Struthio camelus: one gene and its partner. The protein of the gene in region 2 interacts with the protein of the main gene of each other region in a biochemical or structural test. Links are inferred from orthologs where the notes say so. Each region holds a gene or a part of one and is shown on either strand. Other genes may lie near its edges.

Evidence for each region.
Region 1: the proteins of FOXA2 (region 2) and HOXA5 form a complex in vitro, tested with the Homo sapiens proteins (2 studies listed by BioGRID). The link is inferred for Struthio camelus from reciprocal best matches to the Homo sapiens genes FOXA2 and HOXA5.

Annotation. Positions count from the first base shown.
Region 1 is NC_090943.1:39,141,223-39,148,975, reverse strand, and holds HOXA5 (homeobox protein Hox-A5), read left to right. Parts: upstream 1-4,686; 5' UTR 4,687-4,819; coding exon 4,820-5,381; intron 5,382-6,319; coding exon 6,320-6,570; 3' UTR 6,571-7,369; downstream 7,370-7,753. Other genes in the region: HOXA6 (homeobox protein Hox-A6), read left to right, coding at 636-1,071, 2,411-2,670. UniProt on the Homo sapiens protein: Sequence-specific transcription factor which is part of a developmental regulatory system that provides cells with specific positional identities on the anterior-posterior axis. Also binds to its own promoter.
Region 2 is NC_090944.1:146,430,691-146,437,986, forward strand, and holds the start of FOXA2 (hepatocyte nuclear factor 3-beta), read right to left. Parts: upstream 3,052-7,296; 5' UTR 2,593-3,051; coding exon 2,506-2,592; intron 1,632-2,505; coding exon 369-1,631; 3' UTR 1-368. UniProt on the Homo sapiens protein: Transcription factor that is involved in embryonic development, establishment of tissue-specific gene expression and regulation of gene expression in differentiated tissues.

The DNA of each region.
Region 1 (7,753 bases), on a different chromosome or scaffold from region 2:
GCCGCGGGGACCCACGGGCCGGCAGCGCCCAGCCAGCCCGGTGCCCCGCGCGGCGCTGCGCGGCGCTGCGCACCCCCCCGCCGCCGCCTTTTCACGTGCTGCCCCCGCTCCAAACTTTCCCTCCGCAGCATCCATCACCGCCTCCCTCCACCGGGGGCCGCCTCGGCCGCCCTGCCCACGGCGGCGGCGCGGTCCCGCGGGGGCGCCCTGCGCCTCCCCCTCCCCTTAGCGGGGTGCCAACTTTTAAGCGCTGCCCCCACCCCCGCAAGCCATCCCCGGAGGGGAGTGGGGCACTGCTAGGAATTATTATAATTATTCCCCCCCGCTTCGCACCCCCCGCCGGCCCGCCCGCAAGGCAGGGGGCGCGCGGCCCGGGCCGCGGGGCGGCGGGCGCGGGCGCGGGGCGGCGCGGCGGGGCCGGGGCTGCCGGTAAGTTGGCGGCGCGGTGGCGGCAGCCCCGGGGGAGCGGGCGCCGCGCGCGCTCCCATTGGCCGCCCCGCCGTCAGCTGCTCCTATTTTCTGCTGTCGCTTTTGGCGCTCGGCCATCCAGAAACAAACCACTTCGATGACTACTAATAGTTATAGCCAGATGTACTAATACACAACAAATCACGGTCCGGGAGAGGGGCGAGCAAATGAGTTCCTATTTTGTGAATCCCACTTTCCCTGGGAGCCTGCCCAGTGGCCAGGACTCTTTCCTCGGGCAGATCCCCCTTTATCCGGCGGGCTATGATGCTCTGAGGCATTTTCCGGCTTCTTACGGGGCAAGCAGCCTGCAGGACAAGACTTACACCTCACCTTGTTTTTACCAACAGTCCAACACCGTCATTGCTTGCAATCGGGCTTCCTATGAGTATGGAGCCTCTTGTTTTTATTCGGACAAGGAAATTAGTAGCGCCTCTCCCTCCGGCAGTGGCAAACAGAGGGGGCACGGGGACTATCTGCACTTTTCTCCCGATCAACAATACAAATCGAGCAGCGTGCAAACCAAAATTGTAAATGACGAAGGCACCGACCGGAAGTACACGAGTCCTGTTTACCCCTGGATGCAGCGGATGAACTCCTGTGCTGGTAAGTCATTTGAATGAAATCGAGGGGGGAGGAAAAGTTTCTTTCCCCAAGATTTTTTTTTTTTTTCCTTAGATAAAGTCCAGACTGCTGGAGAGAAATGGCTCCTGCAGGGCAATGTGTAACATGAAACCTTCCCAGGTTATTTTAGACCTGGCACATTGGCACCCTGGGAGCAGCGGCCGAGAGCCCGGCTCGTGGGTTATCTGGTAAAACTTACTGAGGGATCCTTAGGAAGCAGCGGGAAAAAAAAAAAGGAAAAAAAAAGAAAAGAAAAGCAAGGAAGGAGCAAGGCTGTTTCACCACTCTCCTTAACCCAGCCTAAAGCCCCTGCTTCGCTCCTGCATTGTCAGAGAGCGCTGTAAGGAATATGCCCTCTGCGCTGAGGCTCCCATGCAGTGGTGGCACATTCCTCACGGCCCCCCTCCCCCAGCTCATTAGCGTGTCAGTATTGGATATTGAGAGCACGTTTCTGGGGCCGTGTGCGCACTTCCACGGCACCGCGCATTTCCCCTGGCTTCCCAGTGAACCTCACGCAGTGGAACTATTCTGCCTGGGAGGGGTGCTGGGGGCTGGGGGGGCGGCTGGCATTGTCCTGGAGCGGCACTTATTTTTAATAATCCCGTTAACACGTTCACTTCCAGTGTTTGCTAGTAACTCCCCTACCCTGCCCTCCTCCAGGGTTTCTGTTTGCTGGACTCTGGGTTGTGCTTCTTTTGGGGAAAGTTTAACTTTTAGCAAGACCATTCGGATGTTGCTTTGCATTTCAGTGCAATAAATTCCGGAGCAAATGGCAAAGGCTGTTCTATGATCTTAAGCTGATGTCTATAATTATACCTAAATTGCAGAGCCTCTATAATCACAGCCATGGCAATAGAAGGTGTTTGTGTAAACACGCACATCCACATGTATGCGCGCACGCACACACACGCACACACACATGCGTGCGACTCCCTGGGTCGCACACACGTGTGTGCGTGTGTGTGTGTGCGTGTGTGTGTGTGTGTGCGTGTGTGCGTGCGCACACAGGCTCTCGACGTGCAGAGTGTAGGCACTGCTCAGCGATTTATGAGGCTGTTACCCACTTCACTTTTCCTAGGTCCAGCTTACAGGCTCTTTGTATCAGAGTTACCCCATCGACCCTAAGCACGATGCACACCCGTATTTACAGCTCTTCAGGCAGGAGAAAAGGGGGGAAATAAGCCTTCAGAAAACCAGAGCACCCCACCACCACCGCGTGTGATAGTGCCTGCGAAAGGAGGCAGAATATACTAACCACTCTTTCTGATCTGAAAATCCCTGGGCCCTGTCCAATGCGATCATTTTGTCTTTACTTCTACAGGTACAGTATATGGATCTCACGGGAGACGAGGGAGGCAAACTTACACCAGATACCAAACGCTAGAGTTAGAGAAGGAATTTCATTTTAACAGATACTTAACCAGAAGACGACGTATTGAGATTGCAAACGCTCTCTGCCTTACTGAACGCCAGATTAAAATATGGTTTCAAAACAGGCGGATGAAATGGAAAAAGGAAAACAAATTCATAAATTCCGCACAGCCCAGCAGCGAAGAAACAGAGGAAAAGTCAGGGGAGTAGAATCATATTTAATAAACGCTACCAGGCCTTTCCTTAGCGCTTACTATTCTCACTATTATGTACCTTGTGTTCCTTCGGCTACTAAAATCCTATAGGTTTGTCACAGTCTATTAATTCCCCAAAGGCTTGGCTAAAAGATATACATTTACAGTCAACTGTGACTTTCTTTAATATATGTAGAAGTCTAAGCTTTCGAGCTGTGTCGTGTATATATATAACCACCTTCCCAAAGCATAGATGGCTTTGCTTAAAGTATTTGAGAAATGGCTCAGATTTTTAAATATTTGAAGTGAGCATCTGTGTGCGGGTGAGTGTCCATGGCATGTCTGTGTGAGAACAGATAAGGGAGTGATTTTGTTGTTGTTTGTTTTTTAATTAGGAATGTTCATATTGTAGAAATACGAGAAATTTTAGAAAATCTTGGTTTTACATTTTCACTAATTCCGGCTATGCCGGGCCGTCTCGTGTTGTGTTTGGGAGCTTATAGTTTGTAGGGGGAAAAAAAAAGTTTTACACATGTATAAGCATTTAAATCGCAAAAAGAAGAAAATTTCTTTAAAAAAATCGTTATATAAAAATATGAGTATGAACTTGCAGTTAAAGCAAAGGTGAATCGCAGGGAGATTTTTAAATGCCGCTAAACTGTCTAATCTGCACTACGAGTATTAAAGTAAAAACTCGCGGTTAAACTTTAGGACAAGCGAGGGAAGAGGTTTTAAGGCGGGCGAACTTCTGTGGTTCCCGTTGAGCTAACACTGAGATTTCGGTGAACTCAGCTTTACACGGAGAGGGCTCTGAATTATAGACTACATTTCGTGGAGATTCATGGGCTTGGTTATTTCTTTAATTCTTTCTTTCTTTCTTTTGGTTTTTATTTATTTATTTTTATTAAAAGTAAAGTAACTGTCATATTGACTCGGGAATGTTCTTCCCCGCTTTTGTGGTATCTCAATTCACATTCGCATTTCCTAGTACTGAAAAAAATATATATATAGCTATAGACACTCTAAAGAACAGCAGCTGCGATAAAATCCTTCCATTTCGAGTTCTCTTTAAGTAAAATGAGCGCAGAGAAAATATTGTCTAATATATGCATTATATATATTGTGAGTGTGTGAGTGTGCGTGTGAAGCTGTGTACAAATATACGTGTATACGCATCAAGGCTCTTTTGTTCGAAAGGAAGCATAATTTGGGCAACCGCTCTGAACATTTTAAAAGCCACATCGCGAAAATATTAGTGCAAAATGGCTACCATCGCATTTGTATTTTTTTCTGGGAGGCGTAAAAACAACGCTGACCATAAAGCCGTCTGGAATTTGACCCCCTAGCCAGAAAAATGCTGCACAATATTTATCTTTCATAGGTACCTGCCATTTCAGATCGGCAGAACCCGACTGCCTCTCGAAAGCTCTCGCACGGGGGGGGGGGGGGGAAGCGGGGGGGAAGGGACATAAGCGTTGCCAGCAACCGAGGATTTATTATATAGTGTTGCTGAACTGGTGTAAATAAGCCGCTCGCGGAAGAGAAAATACAAACGCAGCGGCGTGATTTCTGCGCTCCAGAGTCCCCAGCAGCCCGGGGGAGGGCGCGGGCGGGAGCCGCCGGCCGCGGAGGCCGCCGCGGGGGAGAGCGGGCCGCGGCCCCGCCGCCGCCGCGGCCCCGCGCCCGCCGCCGGGCCCCGCCGCCGCCATGCTCCGCCATGCGCCGCGCCGCGCCGCGGGCCGCCCGCGCGGAGCCCCGCGGAGCCGAGCGGAGGCGGGCGGCCGCGCCGCCGTCGGGGGCTCTCACCCCGGCCCGACCCCGCGGCCGCGCCTTCCCCCGCGCCGCCAGCGGGTGGCGCTCGAGGCCGGCGGACGGGCGGGCGGCGGCGGCGGCGGCGCGCCGCGGCGGCGCGCCCCGGGCCGCCCGCGCCCTCCCAGCTCCCCCACCAGTGCACGAGTTTACCTCTAGAGGTCATCAGGCAGGATTTACGACTGGACAACAAAAGCACGTGATTTGAAGCCGTACCCCATATTTGGGTGCCTACGTAGGAGGGAACCAAGTACATGTCCCAGTCATTTCCATAATTCATCATAAATTGTGCAAGGGTGCTATAGACGCACAAAACGACCAAGAGCCACAAATCAAGCACACATATCAAAAAACAAATGAGCTCTTATTTTGTAAACTCATTTTGCGGTCGCTATCCAAATGGCCCGGACTACCAGTTACATAATTATGGAGATCACAGCTCGGTGAGCGAGCAATACAGGGACTCCGGCAGCATGCATTCCGGCAGGTACGGATACGGCTACAATGGCATGGACCTCAGCGTCGGGCGCTCTGCTTCCACCCACTTTGGTGCCAATGAGAGATCCCGCAGTTACCCGGCCAACACCACCTCTGCCTCGACAGAGCCCAGGTACAACCAGCCCGCGACGTCTTCCCACTCGCCGCCACCTGACCCTCTGCCCTGCACCGCCGTGGCCGGTTCGCCTGTCAGCGAGAGTCACCACGGGGTGAAAAACTCCCTCGCCAACTCCACCAGCACTTCGTCCAATTCCAGCAGCAACACGCACATAAGCAGAGACGGGGTTGGCACCTCGTCTGGGACTGAGGAAGACACTCCAGCAAGCAGCGAGCAGGCAAGTGCCCCGACCGACCAAAGCACAGCCCAGCCTTCACAGCCCCAGATCTACCCTTGGATGCGAAAACTGCACATAAGTCATGGTAAAGCAAATACCCTGTTCTTTCTTTATTTCTCTGGAGGAAAAGGAGGATTTAATGTAAACCGGGTGTCTGCGCTAAGCGAGGTCGGGGAGAGGGGGAGAGGAGGGCGTGAGAGCGTGCAGCCTCCGCACACAACTCTGCTCGCAGGGAAGCCAGGTCCGTTGTCTGGGCAAGTGTCCCCCTCCCCCAAATAAAAATGCCCAGCCCCAAAAATACAGCCTGCCTCGCTCCCGTTGCCAGCCCTGGCTCGTGCAGGGACCGGGAGAGCAGCAACCGCCTTAGCGAGGGGGATCGTGAGCAGAGGCTGCTCCTGGGTCTCCTTTTTAAGGGGGATCCTCCAGTGGGAACAGCGCTGCTGACCCCATTTATTTTTCCGAGCCATACTTAAAAAGAGAATAGGAGAGGGCGAAGAGGGCAGTTTTCCTTGCTGGGAAGCCCTGGGGGAGGGGAGCAGCAGCCCCAAACTCCGGGTGAGGGGCGCGGGGGAGCCGAGCAACTTTCCGACCTGGCTACCTGCCGCGCCCCCGCCGCCGGGGGAGCAGCCGGGGGCTCGCTGCCTCCCACAGCCTTCTCCAGCTCAGCCGTGGGAAAGGGCTGCCCGCCTCTGCTTTGCTCTCCCAGCCCTGGAAACCCATCTCTAGCAGCAGAGGCATCCCCAAACCAGCTTCGCTAGGGGAGGCATGTGGAGATTATTCTCAAAAAAAAAAAAAAAATCGAAATCAAAATCCAAGCGAAAACTTACCACGACCACTAAACCCCCCTCCCCCAATCCTTTGCTAAAAGGGGCTGGAGGGGGGAAACTTGTTGAGCATTTACCCAAACGAGCACAAAACCCAAGCTGGACTGAGAATAACGGTCCTGGTTGCTCGTAGCTGCAATAAGACCTGAGGGCTCCAAGTTGCTGCTGAGAATCTAAATCATGTACTTTTCTCTTCCAGACAACATAGGGGGACCAGAAGGGAAAAGGGCTCGGACTGCTTACACCCGATATCAGACCTTGGAGCTGGAAAAGGAATTTCACTTCAATAGATACCTGACCCGCAGAAGAAGGATTGAAATAGCACATGCTCTTTGCCTCTCAGAGAGACAAATAAAGATCTGGTTCCAAAACAGGAGAATGAAATGGAAAAAGGATAATAAGCTGAAAAGTATGAGCATGGCAGCTGCAGGAGGGGCATTCCGTCCCTAAGCATTTGATCAATTAAAAGTACTGAGCAGTATTAGCTGACCCTGCGTCTCATGTCAGTACTAAGTTGACTTTCTAAAACTTCCTTGTGTTACTTCTGTGAAGAAACCCTGTTCTTGTCGCCCTTATTCATCTTTTAATCATGAGCCTGTTTATTACCATTCTCTCGCGTGTATAAGTAGATCTGCTTTTATCGTACATTTCTTTGTCTTGAATGGCTTTGTCTTGAAAAAATAATAGATGTTTTAACTTATTTATATGAAGCGAGCTGTGTTACTTGAAGTAACTGTTAAAAAGCAAAACAAAAAAGAACAAAAAAAGAGAGAAAAAAAGAGAGAGAGAGAGAAAGAAACCCTCCCCGGTTTAGTACAAATGTTGTGTTGCACTCAACCTGCTTAACTGTGCATGTGTGGTCAAGTGTTAATGTCTGTATAGCTCCAAGCTGTTAAAAATATTTTTATTCAAACTACCTATACAATTCCTGTGTAATTAATGCTGTTGTAGAGGTGAAATGATGAAATCAACTGAACTTGTCCTACGTGTAGTGAATAGTGAATCTGTGACGAAAACTGTGATTCCAAGCAGTATGTCCTTGCTGTGCCTTTGTATATGACTCTTTGCACGAACTCTTAGAAGTGGCTCTTATTAAGCGCAGCTTCTGTGATGTATGTTTTTTGTGAACAAAGTTACAAATATAGTCAAAGTCTGGCTGTTTGAGCAAACTGTGATCAGCTTTTTTTTTTTGTATTTGTTTTTAAAAAAAACTGACTGGAAATCAACAAAAAAATAAACTTTCTATTGTAAATTTTTCGTGATCTGGTTTGTGCAAAGCAAGGAATTGTGCTTCCTGATTTGCCTTTTAAAAATATTAATCCGTGCAGAGTTTGTAGTAATATTTTACCTGGCTCACGCTGCACGTTGCCTGTGATAGAGCTGCAATTGTCCGCTACCAGTATTTTTAATTGAAAGTTTCTCCTTAAGTTCCTCTTTAATGGTTTCTCGTTAGGTGGAAAGCTGCATTGCATGACCACAATCAACACCCTTTGTGGGTGAATCAACTGTTAGCTATTTGCTGATGGTTAAAAAAAAAAAAAAGTGCTTTGTTAAAACACACTGCTAACTCCAAGATGTGTTTGAATCGCTCTAGAATTTCTCCTGTGGTTTCATTAAGTATATTTGCAGGACA
Region 2 (7,296 bases):
AAAATAACCCCAACAAAAAAAAACTCTCCCCGTCCCCTCACCCCCAACCCACCCCTCCCCACCAAAACAAACCACCCCACAAAGTAAACCAAGGGAATCACGGTCCCCCGGGACATGGGTGGCTTTTGGCCGGCGGGGACCAACACGCCTGCCTTTGGCGTGGGTCGAGATGCTTGCATGACACACATCAGTTGTTTCCCAAACAGATGCAAACATCTGGAGCCAACCAAAAAAAAATAGATAGATATATATGTATATGCACCGTGCTCAACAGCGTTCATAGTCCATCCCTCTGCTAGGGGACTGCGCAGGGGCTGGGGTGGGGTGGTTTTTCTCCCCTTGTGAGGGGAGGTTTTTCCCTTGCCCCTTTAGGAGGAGTTCATGATGGGCCGGGAATACACACCTTGGTAATAAGAAGTCTCTCCGGCTAAAGGGGAGGACTCTAAGCCATTTTTGTTCGTTACAGGTCCCATGGCCAGGCTGCCAGGCATGGGTGAGGCGTAGCCCGAGTAGTGCATCACCTGCTCGTAGGCCTTGAGGTCCATTTTGTGGTGGTGGTGGTGGTGGTGGTGAGGGTGGTGATGCTGCTGCTCAGAGGAGGACATCAGGTTGTTGATGGAAAAGGGGTGGTTGAAGGCGTAGTGGTGCTCAGGCTTGAGATGGGCATCATGGGGCAGGCCAGCGTGTTGGGGGGCCAGGAGGTGCTGCCCTGGAGAGGCTGCTGGCTCCCCGGGGCTCAGCCCTGTCGTGCCCTTCAAGTCAGCCAGGGCACGCTTGTGGTCCTGGCACGGCGAGCTGCTGGCAGGGGACTCAGCACCAGCTGAGCCCTCAGAGCCGCCTGAGGAGCTGCCTTCCCCCAACGGCTGGCTGGGTGGCTGCCCGGGCCCCTTCTTGCCCCCGCCGCCTGCTCCGCCACTTGCCCCACCGCTGTCCTTGGCGGCCAGCTGCTTCTCACACTTGAAGCGCTTCTGGCGGCGCAGGTAGCAGCCGTTCTCAAACATGTTGCCTGAGTCAGGGTGCAGTGTCCAGAAGGAGCCTTTACCTGGCTTATCTGGGGAGCGGGGCACCTTGAGGAAGCAGTCATTGAAGGAGAGCGAGTGGCGGATGCTGTTCTGCCAGCGTTGCTGGTTCTGACGGTAGAAGGGGAAGAGGTCCATGATCCACTGGTAGATCTCGCTCAGCGTTAGCATTTTGTTGGGTGACTGCTGGATGGCCATGGTGATGAGGGAGATGTAGGAGTAGGGCGGCTTGGCATGCGTGTAGCTCCGCCGGTAGGTCTTCGGGTCCCGAGAGCGGTTAAGGTTGGACTGCCCGTAGATGGGGCTCATAGAGTTCATGTTGGTGTAAGGGGCCAGGGCGTTCATGGAGCCGGCTTGGCCCCCCATGGGGCTCATGCTGGGGCTCAGGTGGGTGCCCATTCCTGCCACACCGGCCGAGCCCATGCCAGGCATGGCGCCCGTGCCCGGGGACATGCCAGTGAGCGAGGGGCTCATGCCCGTGTTGGCGTAGGACATGTTCATGGAGGTGGCAGCCGTCATGTTGGCCGTGGTGCTCATGGCCGACATGGTCATGTACGTGTTCATGCTGTTCATGCCCAGCCCCGCGTTCATGTTGCTCACCGAGGAGTAGCTCTACAAGGGCAAATGAGAGAGAGGAAGATTTGGGGGGGATGGGGAACAGGTAGACTTGTAACCCTGCCAGGGGCGATGGCAGCCCCCCCAAGCACAGAAACGGTACGGGGAGACCCCCGCCCCAACCCAGATCGCCGCTTGCACACGAGCTTTTGCAGCCCCGGAGCACCTTGCCCGGCGAGGTGGGAAGGGTTAAAGCTCCTGCGTGTTGAAACGCTCGTTAATGAAAAAAATTAAAAAAAAAAAAAACAAACACGCACACAAAAACAAAAACAAAAAAAAAGAAAGAGATTGCAACAAGATCGATAGACCTGTCCCTGGAAACGAGCCTCGGAGTTGGAAGGAAAAGGAAGGGATATCCCTGCCCGAAGCGACAAAAAATACCCGGCGGGGAGAGGAGGGAAGGGAGGAAGAGCAAAAAGCGACATGCAGCCCTGAACGCGCTAACTTTTGCCTCCCCGAGACGCACCCGCGCCCTGCTCGCCTCTCCGGGGAGGGGGGGGGGGACGCTCACGACACACCCTCCCAAAATACCCCCCCCCGCCCGCCAACCTTTGCACCACGATGTTTTCCCTCCTACCCCTACCTTCCCCAGCCCCCCCCCCCCCCCCCCCCCCCCCGCCGGCGCCCGCTGCCCAGCGCCGAGCACAGCCCTGGCCGGCGTGCGTGCGGCTGCGGGCAGGCAGAGGATCCGGAGCTTCCTCAAGTCAATATTTGATGACCGAGTTAATATTATCCCAGGGCTAACACGGGTGCAGCGGAGGGACGTGTCCCGGGAGGGGAGCGGGCCGGGCCGGGCCGGGCCGGGCAGGGGCCGGGGAGGCGGGCGGGGGCCGGCGGGACAGACGCCCGCCAGCGCCGGCTTTCTCCTTACCTCGGGCTCCCCGTAGTAGTTGCTCCAGTCCGTGTGCTCATGGCCTTCCATTTTCACCGCTCCCAGCATACTGGAAGTGGAGTGCATGGCAGTTTAAAATTTAACAGCCACAACAAACGACGACAGAGAGCAACCCAAAAAAAAAAAAAAAAGTCCCCAGCCCTCCCTCCCCTCTGTTGCGCTCCCTCTGCCTGAGCCTCTGGAGGAGGAGGAAGAGGAGGGAGGGAGGAAGGGAGGGGGGGGGATCGAGCTGCTCTGGGGCTGGGGTTTTTTCCCTGCTGCTGCTTGGGTGGGTTTTCTCAGCGTTTCGCGGCGAAGAGTCGCCCGGAGGCGATGGAGGAGCCGGAGGAGGAGGAGGGAGGAGGGAGGAAGAAGAGGAGGAGGAGGAAGAGGAGGACAAGTGCTGCAGTGACGTGGGTGCCCGAGTGATATAGCACGGAGCCGCCGGGCGAGCCTCCAATCCCCAGGTCCTCGGCTGCCCATTTGAATAATCAGCTCACACCTAGGCGGGAGAGGCTCCTCCGCGGCCCCCCGAGCACCTCTCCGCGCCCCGCCGCCGAGGCCGGGGGGCCCAGCGGCACCGCTGGGGCAGCGGGCCGACCCCTAGGTCGTCTCCCCCCTCTTCGCCCCCCTCCCCGCCCCGGCACCCGCGCTTCTCCCCGCTCCGTAGGGGGAATCCTGCGGGAGCCGATTTCCAGCCTTCCCCGCCGCCCCCGGCAGCCCCGACGGCAGCTTCTTCCCAGTATCCCCCCCCCCACCCGCCCCGCCTGCCCAGCCTCCCCCCCCCCCAGCCCCACGCACCTTTTGCTCCCCGCAGCTGCTCGGAGGAGGCCCCCCCGGGGCCCGGGCTCCCCGCCCCGACGGCTCAGGCCGCCTGCCGGCCGGCGGCGCCCGGGCTCTGCCCCATCTCCGGGCTCGGCCCGACGTGCGGGGAGAGGCGCCCGCGGCCGGCAGCCGCCGTTTAGGCTCCGCCGCGCCGCGCAGCCCGGCCCAAGGTTGCTGGCTCAGGTACCTACAACAATTTCGTAACTAAAACAAACAGGGAGGGGAGGCGGGGTGGGGGGACGGCAGGGTGCAGGCAAAGCGCCGTCGCGGGGCCGGGTGCCTCCTTTGCGCGGGCGGTCGGCGCCGCCGCGGAGCCCCCGGGCCGTGCGGGGTCCCGGCGGCCGGGGGCAGCGCCGCCGCCGCGGGTCCCGCCGCTCCTGCCGCCGGGCTGCGGCACAGCCGGGGCTCCCCAGGCAGCCGCGGCCGGCGGGAAGGAAGGAGGGATGATCACTGGCGAGGAAACCAAAAAAAAAAAAACAAAAACAAAAACAAAAACCCCAAAAAACAAAGCAAAACAACAACAGCAACAACAACAAAAAAAAATCAGCCCGCTTCAAAACCCGCTCGGCTCCTGGCTCCCTGCGGCAGCCCGCTGCTCCGCCAGCGGCTACCTCCCTCTGTGCTGCCGGGCACGTTTGCTCCTGGCGATGTCCACCAAGTGGAGAATGATTTAATGCGATGGTCCAGTAGGGACTGAGCGGATCCTTCCCTGGGAAAGAGGAAACGGAGGAAAGAGGAAAAACCACCGTCTGGTGGCCAAACACCTCCCAGCCCTCGGGCGATTCCTCCTCCAGCAGCATCCTGCAGCTGTCATTGCAAAGTGTAAATCTGCCTGCCCAAAAGACTCTAAAATACACCTTACTGCCTTGATTTCTCCTGTATATTTTTTTTTCTACACGCAATCGGCTTCATATTTCTATTTCTGTATCTAGCTATATCTGTCTTCAAAACACATGGAAAAATATAAATCACTGACCTTCTTTTAATATTTTTTTTTTCCTCCCGAACGGAAAAATGCATCAATCAGCGAAGGTTAGCAATAGTTTCTAAATATCAATACAAACCCAACAGAGAACAGGATTTCATTTAACCAAGGGAAACTCAGACTAAGAGGAAGTCTTTAAAAAGACTTTTCCCAAGACTCCGGCGCCTTCAGGAGCCGCTTCCAAACGAAAAAAAAAACATCAGCTCGGGGAGGGCATGCTCTTATCGCGATAGCTACCGCGATATTCAGGCCAGCTACCTGGCAGATCCGCCTCCTGTCACCACAACCCTTTTCTGCCCATACTTGGCGGGGGGGGGGGGGATCGATTAGCTGTTTTTTGGCTCCAGACTGAGAACGCAACCCAAGGATGCGCCTCTGCCCACCGAGGGAATCGCTTGGCAAGACGCTGAGACAACGGGGAAATAGTATTTTACACCAAAAAGTGAGAGGAGTGATGCTGCCCGGGTGTCCCTCTGGCTGGAAACGGACTGTCCCTTGTGTCCTGCAGGTTAAAAATGGTGGCGGCGCGCCCCCTGTCGCTTGCTGTCCCCAATTTTGGAGGGCTTCGCGGGAGGGGGGGGGACACACATCCCAAATCCCTCCGGCGAGATGCCGTGACCCCCTTCTTCTGGGGCCCTTCAGAAGGGCACCTGCAACTGTTGCCTTTCATTTACGGAGGGCCGGAGAAATCTTGTCACAGCTTCCTAGTCAAGGGGGTTTATCTGCCTCTCCCTGGGTGGCCTTCAGCCCCTCCTTCTTCTCTGCAGACGTGCAAGCGTTCCTATGATTTTTTTTTAAGCCTTCCAATTCGGCACCTACCGCGCCCCTTGCAGAGGGCTGTGCATCATTCGCGTGCGCGAAGAGACCGAACTGGCTGTTGAGGCTGCCTGACACACTGAGACAACGCAACGGTGGCCAAAGGATAGGAGCTGCTTGTTTGTTTGTTTTTCTTTTCATACAACGCAACTACATGGTCCGGGCACGCTGCTGCAGGATTTTCTGGGGGCCAACAGGGTAAATGGGTTCAAAAAGGGCATAGGTGAATTCGTACAGGGTAGGTCTCCTAGTCACAGTGTCCCAGCGAATGCCTTCTCCACTCCTCTCCAGAAGAGAGAAGAGTTTTTCCCAGGGAAGGAATACTCTGCATGTGCCCTGTGTCTTACTTTCATCCATTAATCACCTGCTGTGGGTCCCTGTCCGAAACAAGGTCCTGGGCTAGATTCATCTGACTTTGTGTAGTCTCTCTTACATCCCTCTCCACCCCTAAGTTCTGCATTTCTCTCCAGTTGTCCTTGTCTCCCTGGCTATGGACAGAGCCCAGGCTGATTTTATTCCTGATTTAGGCACCTTAGCTTTATGCCTAACAGTAAGTGTGAACTTGTGCCTAAGCCTCTACCTTCAGGATGGGTCGGGATACAGAGACTATTATCTCAAATCCTATGCATTTTAACAGGGCTTTTTGTTCCTTTGGAATATCCCATAGCAGAGTGAAAAGACTTAGAAAGGGAGAATTCAGTAAAATTAGCAAAGTTTCTTCCAGATACTGCTAATACCATTAGTTCAAAGATCCTATCCAGTCAGCTTCTCATTTGCAGTTAACTTCAGTCATTTAGGGCAACCTGTGGTTAGTTTTAGCATCATTTTTTCCCCTGCGGACACAAAGTGCAGGATGTGAGCATGTATTTTCAACGTTGCTGGATTTAACAGTGAAATTCCTATTGAATTCCATGGGAAGAGGAGAGAGGCCATACGGAGAATTTCCTAGTGCCAATAAACTCACCTGCCTTCAGGCCTTGACCCTGCATAGGCACAGATGTGAACATACTCTAAGTCTGTCACCTCACCAGGAACAGTCACAGGAGGCAAATGCACATACAAAGCTTTGCAGGCTCAAGAATTACTAGTCCAAGTCTCTCACTAACCACTACTTCGTATTAAGTGTGGTTTCCCTTCTGGTTAGCAGGACTTTGAATTTTTCTGCCACAAAAGATGATTTTTTTCTACCTCCAGTCACCTTCCCATGCACGGACATTTTGCAAAGTGACAAAGGGGAATTACTTTCACAAGAGTCCTGAACTGTTCATTCAAATTTTTGCCTAAGATAATCTACTTTCAGGCTGCGCCTGGGCTATAGTGGATGTTCCCACTGCTGTTGCTCCAGTCCTGTCACTTAAATCAAGCTTTTCCTTCTTGGTCTTATTATTCTTGGGTTATTACATGAAGCACCTCCCATGAAGGTGCTTCATGGACTTTCCCCACTATCCAAATCTCTCTCATTCTTCCTCATGTTAAAGATCACTTACTTGGTCCTGAAACCTTTATAAGCAAAAGAAGTTGCCTGCAACATGAATGACCTTTCAGTGCAGTGTGAGATGTGGAGAGGCTCTCGGAAGCCCTCCTGCTTCCCCTCACACAGAGCTTAGCAGCAGCCTGCTCCACTACTAAACCTGGTCATGGGCTGCCTTCTGATGTTTATACATGGAAATCATAAATTCAGAAGAAAACTACTTTTTCTGTCCTAAAGATCCTTCTCTCTCTACCAAGATTTTGTGGTTCATTGCTTGGTTGCAGCAGGCAATTTCAAGAGCCATCGCAGCCTGAGTTCTGCACCCCCTGCAGATCGGCATGGAGGTCTGCTTAAAAGTCATGATCCAATTCATCCCAAGAGCATCAGCAACCGATGCTTTGAAGAGAGGATCAAGTAGATCCCTGTAGGTTCTCATACTGCACACTCTGCAGAGTGGACTCACTCAGGACCAGAGAAAGGATCAACTAAGTGTGCTGGGTGGAAGACAAATGCACCAGGAACTTTCAGAGGCCTTTTTCCTCCTTATGCAAGCTCCTCTTTCAGCAGCCCAGGGGACTTCTGACTGTTAATCTCTGTTTTCTTTTCCCTGTTTTGCATAGAGGGTTGCTGAGGTCCACATCAACGGATATGATGGATGCAGTGCCAGAGAGTCACCTGGAAAGTGAAAGAGCCG